Oryzias latipes: one gene and its partner. The protein of the gene in region 1 purifies or fractionates together with the protein of each later gene. This does not show direct contact. Links are inferred from orthologs where the notes say so. Each region holds a gene or a part of one and is shown on either strand. Other genes may lie near its edges. The genes, in order: araf and bag2.

The links.
Region 2: the proteins of araf (region 1) and bag2 purify together in Homo sapiens (affinity purification with mass spectrometry; 3 studies listed by BioGRID and IntAct, with this or other methods). This does not show direct contact. The link is inferred for Oryzias latipes from reciprocal best matches to the Homo sapiens genes ARAF and BAG2.

What each region holds. Positions count from the first base shown.
Region 1 is NC_019867.2:28,405,675-28,409,594, forward strand, and holds the start of araf (serine/threonine-protein kinase A-Raf), read left to right. Parts: upstream 1-1,660; 5' UTR 1,661-1,776; intron 1,777-1,813; exon of another isoform or gene 1,814-2,079; intron 2,080-3,290; 5' UTR 3,291-3,403; coding exon 3,404-3,514; intron 3,515-3,920. UniProt on the Homo sapiens protein: Involved in the transduction of mitogenic signals from the cell membrane to the nucleus. May also regulate the TOR signaling cascade. Phosphorylates PFKFB2.
Region 2 is NC_019873.2:24,430,442-24,434,361, reverse strand, and holds the start of bag2 (BAG family molecular chaperone regulator 2), read right to left. Parts: upstream 2,445-3,920; 5' UTR 2,291-2,444; coding exon 2,169-2,290; intron 2,027-2,168; coding exon 1,917-2,026; intron 736-1,916; coding exon 341-735; 3' UTR 1-340. Other genes in the region: E3 SUMO-protein ligase ZNF451, read right to left, coding at 3,665-3,705. UniProt on the Homo sapiens protein: Co-chaperone for HSP70 and HSC70 chaperone proteins. Acts as a nucleotide-exchange factor (NEF) promoting the release of ADP from the HSP70 and HSC70 proteins thereby triggering client/substrate protein release.

The DNA of each region.
Region 1 (3,920 bases):
TTATTTCATCTCAGTTTAATGTTTTATACTTCCAAAATAAAGCCTAAATTCAAATTTTTGTTTGCAGCGTAGTTGTATGACAGAAATAAAAATGCATTTGTATAATTTTTTAATTTATTTTTATTTCATTTTGTACTGTATTACATAATTCTATTTTGCCGTCTTGTTTTTCATCTTAAGGAAGATTTTGTTTAAAACTTGCTTCTAAATTGTCTCATTATACAATATATTTAGTTTTTAATCAAAGAGGGTCAGATTTGATGAAGTGAAAATGTGTGAGGGTCAACCATTTGACCAGGATTCTTTGAATTATTTTATGAACAATAAATGCAAATGGATATTTTATTGCAATGGGATACTTGTCAATTCAAACTAATGTTTAACAAAAATCACAATTTTTTGCTTGTCTTGTATGGTATCCCCTCTTTCTATTGACCAGCTACTCTTGAAATATCAGGCAGACACTGTTGTCTCATGTTTCGCTGAAAAAATCTGCCGGTTTCCACTTGTCCTGGAGGAAGTGGCCCTCACTGTCAACTTTGCTTTTTTATTTCCTGGTGGCATTTCAGAAATGAGCTAGAAAGTTTCACAGAGGGGTTGCACGACAGGTTAACAAAGGTTTAAAATATCAACCACAATCAAGAAATCATACACGGGTTCTAGAAAAGGCGGGGGGCCACATATTATTGATTTATGAAAGGAGCCTGCGGGCCGGTTCATATTTGAATGCGGGCTGCATTTGGCCCATGGGCCGCACTTTGGACATGCCTGATTGAAAGGGATTGTGTTTGGGAAAATGTGGGGTTGAAGTCGTGCTAAAACATACAATGTCTAACAACCTGGCAGTTTGAACCCTGGAGCAACCAATTGGTGCACAGTGCCAGTCCTGAGCTATTCATGTGCTGTGATAAATCTGGAAGGAAAAACTTGGGATGAAAGCAGAAAGTGCCTATTTATTCATAAAAATACAGATTAGAAAAAAATTGCTCTATAAATTCAATAAGATTGTATCTATGTCTCTAAAACTTAAAATGATTACACTTAAGGAATTTTAAGTATTAACAAGTTTGATCGCAATTATTTTTCTTAGATAAATGCCTGTGGGCCAGAGGGAGATTGAACTCGGGCTGAATTTAGCCCATGGGCCGGACTTTGGACACACCTGATCTAGAGCTATTTTCAAATCCGTTTCTGCATTTGGGAAAGGTTGAAGCCTTGCTATAACACACAATGAATATAACAGCCTGACAGTTGAACCCCTGAGCAAACAATTGGTAAACACAGATGAACCTACAAAGATGTACCTGCCTGCACAAGGAAACACTTTTGGGATAAAAGTGCAAAGTGACTGTTTTTCCCCTCATAAAAATCAGAATTAGAAATAAAATAAAAATTCATGGTAGGATTATATTTATGTCGCTAAAACTTGAAAACATGAGGCAATTTCAAGAATTAATTAAATTTATCGTTTTTCTATGTGTTTTTCATTGGTAAAAAAACTTTTTGAAAAAAAAACCCATCTCATGTTGCATAAGCAGATGTTGAAAATCTTGCGCGGGATTTGCACCCTCATTCTGTGCTGATGCTAACAATCACTCGTTTACGTGACAAGTCAGTTCGCAGCGCCCACCTCTCAACACCCGCAGGTGTCCTTGTCCAATCGGAGGACGCGGCTGCTGGAATCAGCCAATCAGGAGGCAGCGCCGCGGAGTTTTTCCGCTTTCCCGAACTTCTTGACAGACTTCAGATTGAGACAATTCAAGATGGCTGCTTCAGGTGAGACCGAACTTTTGGATGTGAACTGCTCCAAAACACCGTGAAGTGAGTCGGCCGGGTCTTCGCCGTGGCGCGGCGGCTTGGATGGGTGCGGGCCTGTCAGCTGAGCGAGTGTTGGTTACAGTAAGCGGCGCTAATGGGAGCTTCTGAACCGACTCCGCGGTTACACCCGCAGGTTAGCTAACATTAGCCGCCTAGCATCAGAGCGGCTCGCGGTGAAGTGTGTGCGGCAGCGGGATTATCTCCTTCCGCTCCTGGAGCTCTGCAGCTTTCAGAGCGGACACAGCAGAGTCCCCCACTCAGGTTAGATTGCTATAATGTCATAGAAGTTTCCAGGGCGTCACTTTTGACCTCCGCGAGACCCGTAACAAACTTATTTGGCTAGTTAGCTGAAGTGGTAACGGGCGCCTCGGCTTAAACATGGCCTCCCAACTGAAAGTGTGTGGCTGCTCAGAGGCTGCGCCGCTGCGGCCGAGGGGGAAACGTGAAGCGCCTGAGCGGCCGGGATGCGGCGGTACACGGTACCGTGGGTCTCTCCCAAAGGTTCTGACAGAAACCCAGCTGCGTCTTACCCGAGTTCGGCTCTGTCACTCAGACGGAGCCCTGTGCGCCTAAAAAACCCGAGTATATTCCCAGAGATTTTCTCTTGATTATGGATTCTGGTTGAACGAGTTCGGTTGGTTGATCCAAACCCACTTACATGTATATTAATATTATTGGTTTGCTTCATTTTTAGGCATTTATGTGGTTAAGGCAATATTTTCTATTTACTTCTGACACAAAGTAAACAAAACAAATGCATGTAACAAATCAGTTTAAAAAAGGTTTGGTTTCTTTATGTTAAAATAATCCACATTTTTTATTAGTTATCATAAAACCTTTTTCCTTTTTAAAACCACACCAATGAAAATGAAGATATTGGTGTTTCAGAAGAGTTTGTTGCATTTTCTTTCCTAACATTGTAGAACATATATTAAGAAAATTTAAGATTTTAATAACTTTTCTGAATATTACTTTATTCACATAATTGTGAATCAGGAGTAGACATAAAAAAGTTGGAAAAAGCTTTAAATCTGTCGTAGGAGTTAAAACTGCAAGTTCCCTGCTCCGCATCCACTTCTACACAAACAGACCCATGAACGTCTCCGTTTTTCTCGTCTGAGCCGGAATCTGGACCTAAACTGTACGACTGGATAGCTCCGATATTGCTCGCCATTTTTGTTGCACCGAAAATCCTAATTTGGGGGTATGGGGGGCTGTACGCCAGCGGGCGAGAGTTTTTTTTATTTTGGCTAAAAACGGCATAATCATGATTGAAAGACCACTGGGAACGCTTATACAAAATCAATCAGAAGGTGACTGTAGTGGGGCTTTAAATACATTTCTGCATGACTACAAAGCATTTTTTATTTCTATGAAGAAGCATTCAGACTTTAAAGTTTCATTAAATCACTGTGTACTCAAGGTTTGAACGTCCTGCACTCTTGTTACATTTTGTGTCTGTGCGTTTGCAGGTTCTGAGTGAAGGGCTTCTCTGGATCCCACCTGTGCATGCTGCAGCTCTCCTGAGGTTGCAGTTTGAGTGCTGCCCCCCCACCCCCACCCCCAGCTCCACCTGCCTCTCATCATGTCCTCCACCTCCTCTTCATACTCCTCCTCAGGGGAGACCAGTCCGGAGGATGTGCCTCGGGGCGGGGGTACCATCCGAGTCTACCTCCCCAACAAACAGAGGACAGTGGTGAGGCGACTGCGCATGCACTGGTTCTAATGTGTTTAAAAACGTATCTGTAGCACATCTATGAACATTCATTCATCCACGTGGTTCTGCAGCAGAAACGGTTCTAAAAAGAGTCAGTTTTTTCAAGTTGAAGACGTTTAGCCTCTGATCCAAGAGACTTGCCTAACTCTGAACTCCTTTTCTGTTGTCGCTTTTAACATGAAAAACTGCATTTTTCTCTGATAATAGATGTGTGAATGTTTACAGTAGAGGCTAGAAACTGAAGCTAAAGCACCAAAGAAAATTAGGCATGCCGAAGAAAGATGATGAATGCAAAAACCTGCAAAATTGGTTGGAAATATGGCTAAAATGTTGAATTCAATGTTGAATTAATCTGACAGATCTTTTTTTTTATGAATTTGTTCAC
Region 2 (3,920 bases), on another chromosome or scaffold:
GCATTGTCAATCACCTCATATGTCAGAGCACTGAATTGCTGCAAAATGTGCTCAAAATTATATATTGTCTTCAAAAGGTTGAACTTCAATCTGTGATGCATCTGTATTTGTTCTTTCTTGGGCTTATTGATGAACATACATTGTGAACTGTGTGCCCTTTAGCTATGTCGGTGTAGTAAAATTTAAAGTAAAAATTGACCTTTTTACAAAAAAAATGTGTACCAGTGTACTTTTCAGGGTTGGTTACAATGCATGGATCCCTAAGAGTCATGCTTGTGCAGCTCTCCTTTGTGAGGTAAAGTGGAATTCAAAAACACCCTTCATGCTTTGGTGATGATTATTAACTACTGCAGTTGGTTTTTGCACTCTCCAGTTTTTGATGATCCATAATTTTGATGTTCTTTTCAGCGTTTTCCACATTCCTCACCAGCGTCTCCAGCCTCTGTTTGATCTTCTTCTGGTCCTCCAAAGAGCAGCTGATCACCACAACCTGGAACTTCTGATCGATGGGGACAGGCGGTGCTTCGGTCACGCAGGCGGCGTGCAGCGCCATCAGCTGCTGCCGACCGCCTTCCATGTCGACCAGCAACTTTTTTACGATTTCGTCAATCATGGATGTGGCTTTCCGCAGGGCCTCCTCCTGCTGGGGGTTTCTAATGGTGCCAACGGAGATCTCCACCGTCAGAGTCCGGCCCATCAGACGGTTCGCAGTTAAGCTCAACTCTTCCCTTTCTCCTGCAGAAGAAAAGGAAATTAGAGCTTTAATTTGTCATAAAAAATATTATTATTAACCTGTTTTTGACTCATTTCATTTATTTTGATGTATTTTATGTTAATAAATCGTCTTTTGATCTATTTCCAAAGTGTTCCGAGTGGTTTTGTAATTATAGTTATACCATTTTTAGCCCAAATAAAAAAATCCTGTGTCATTTTCTAGGACATAATTTCTGCAGAGCGGCAGGAATTCATTAGAAATCTGCCTCTAAGTTGTAGGTGGGGCCGTAGGCGTGGAGTAAGCCCACCCTTGCTTCCGGACATCTATGTGTTTAAACGCTCTCCTGCAAATTTACAGCCCTTTATAACCCCAACGTAACATTACTGATGCAACTCAAATGGCCTGCAAGAATGGAGATATCCATCCGTCCAGCTTTGAGCCGGAAGCCAACTCGGATGAGGAAAACAAAAGACCTACATGGATCTATTTGTCCGCAAGTGGATGCATCAGAATGGAGCAGAGAAGAGCAGGACGTTTGTGGTCTGCTGTATTAGCTTCTACGTCAAACCTACAAGCTTTTTCAAATGGCATTTTTGCTTTTGCAATTTGAATAAAGAAATACACCGAAATGGAAATATGAGCTGAATTTTCTTTCTATATGTCCTGCATTTTGAGAAAAACACCACAACAACATGTTAAAAACACCAAAAACACAATTTTCCTGAGTGGGTCTTTAAGATTTGATATAGGGGCAGAAATATAACAAGAATTTCATTTTTTTTGTTCCTTTCTATTCATGAAAATGTGTGGACTTATGTTGAATATGTAAATATAATATGGTACCATGAAAAGAACAGAATTTTTCTTTCTACTTATACCATGAAAAAAAGTTTATATCTTGTAGTAAACTTGCTATGTTGGACTCAGAAGTATAGTGTGTTCCTTTTAGAGGGTTTAATAGAAAGACACAGAGGTGAAATGGGACCTCTATGGGTGAGACATGTGATGCATTTTGGGTGGAGCACATTGTTCTTTTCAGTTTCTTGACCATCACGCAAAGTTTTCCTTTTATCACCACAGGATCAAAGTAGCAAAAAACAGGAATTAAGATTACTGGAAAGTTAAGCCACTCTTCACTGGTATTAAGCAGCGGATGACTTGTGCTCTTATGTAAGTTGTGGGAGAGAATTAGCAGCCTCACCCGCACAGATGTTACGCATTTCTTGACTGTTCTGGATGGATTGAATCATTTCCAGGATGCCTTCTCTTTCCTGCTCCAGGGCGGATGCTGTTTCTCTTAAAGCCTCCACCCTGACAAAAACAAACATCCGTCAAAAAAAAACAGCTTTTCTTTTTCCTTCCAATCACGTTCAGTTGTTAAAGTTACGCCACAGTGTCAAACGAACGAGAGCACCTCCAAAGAAGACGCGCATGGCGAGGCCCGTTATTGTACCTGATTTCCAGCTGATCCAGAGTTTCCAGCAGTCTTCCGGAGCGATCAGCCATGGACAGTGTCCTGCTGAACTTGCTGCAGACCGCTTCGTTCATCTTCGCCTGGATTTTCGCCTGAGCCATAATAATTAGTGCTGCAGTGCCGAGTTTCTGTAGTCCGATCAGTCAATCCAAAGAGTGAGCGGCGCTTTAAGCTCTCCGCCTGACCAGTAATTCCTCAGGCTACAGGCAGCAGCGCCCCTGGGACAACATTTCCTAACATGGGCTTCAGCTTCCTCCTCTTCCTCCTCCTCACAGAAACTTCCCGAGGAACCCAGAGAGGAGGCTCCAACCCAGACAGGGGGCTCCAACAGGGGGCTCTGAGTGAGGAGCGCTTTAGCTTTAAAATGCTTTATTTGAATTTCCATAAAACAACAGATTTTATTTTACACAAGATTTTATATCTGGGAGATAAAAGGGAACAGGGGGAGAGAAAGCTTATTTTTTCTGGAACTTTTATATAATTAGGAGGCAAAAAAACAATTGTCATAAATTGATTAGAAAATAAAAATAAACTAAAAGACGAATACATCAAGTAAATATAAAATAATAGTATTGTCCAATAACTGTTTTCTGCATGATTTGAATAATATTTTTGCAGAGTTCATACAGGTTTGTTAAACATGACATTTGCAACTCTCATCAATTTGTACAAGTGGCACTTTTTCATCATTTTAGTTAAAAGAAAAAAGCAAAGACACAATGTAACAAAACCACCTTTAGGGGGCGCTGATGAGGTGACAGGTGCTTGTTACCATTATCTCTATTGCTTCAAGCCACAAAGATAGATTCCATCTATTTTACCAACCAACAGGTCTCCAAACTGTTTTTTTTTTCTGTTCTCCGAACAAAATAATCAAATGTAACATTCAATGACCAAACGTCATGCTCCGTTATTATATCTTTATTAAAGAAAAATATTTTCACAGAGAGTACTTTTTAGGAAAACCGTTCTGTCCCTGTTATTCACTCACACTTTTACACAAAAAACCTTTTTCTTTAAGTTGAACTCATGTAATGATGTTTCATACAAACTTTTCTGTAGAAAAAATACAATTTCTGCTCATTCATTTCTGACGTCTGAGCAGCCGGTAAAGAGAATCCTCACGTCTGTAGTGAAACCAGAGAGGTGGAGGAGCGGTTGGTCTGCGGTCACGAGGTCAGCCCAGGCATCTAGCTGTGTCACCACAATCCTGTGTGTGTGTGTGTGTGTGTGTGTGTGAACACGTGACACATAGCTTCAATGTTTAGAACGTCTGACTTTTTATAAACCCTCAGCTTCTAACTAGCTTTAAAACCCACTGTCTGCCCCAAGAACTGCTGACTTTGGCTGCTAAAGGAAGTAAATCAATTCAAATAATTCATGACTTTTATTTATAACTTCTGAAAACAATGACCTTGAGTAAAAAAGGTCAACGTGACAGGTGAACAACAGGAACTACTTCATTTAGAAAGCACTTAGAACTCCACAAGACTTCTCTGAAGAGCTTCCTCCAACTCTGCGGGAAAGAAAAACAAGAAAAAAAAAAAAGTTGAAAATGACACTCCATTATAAAACAACATAAAAACAGCAGAGGCCATTTTAAAGACCCACTCCGATCATCTTTGAAGCTATTTTCAAAGTGATCTTTTAATCCCGTTTATGCTGCTTTTAGTCAAAATACAAAAAAAGCCTGTGTTGTTTTTCTTAGGACATAGTTTCTGCAGAGCTGAA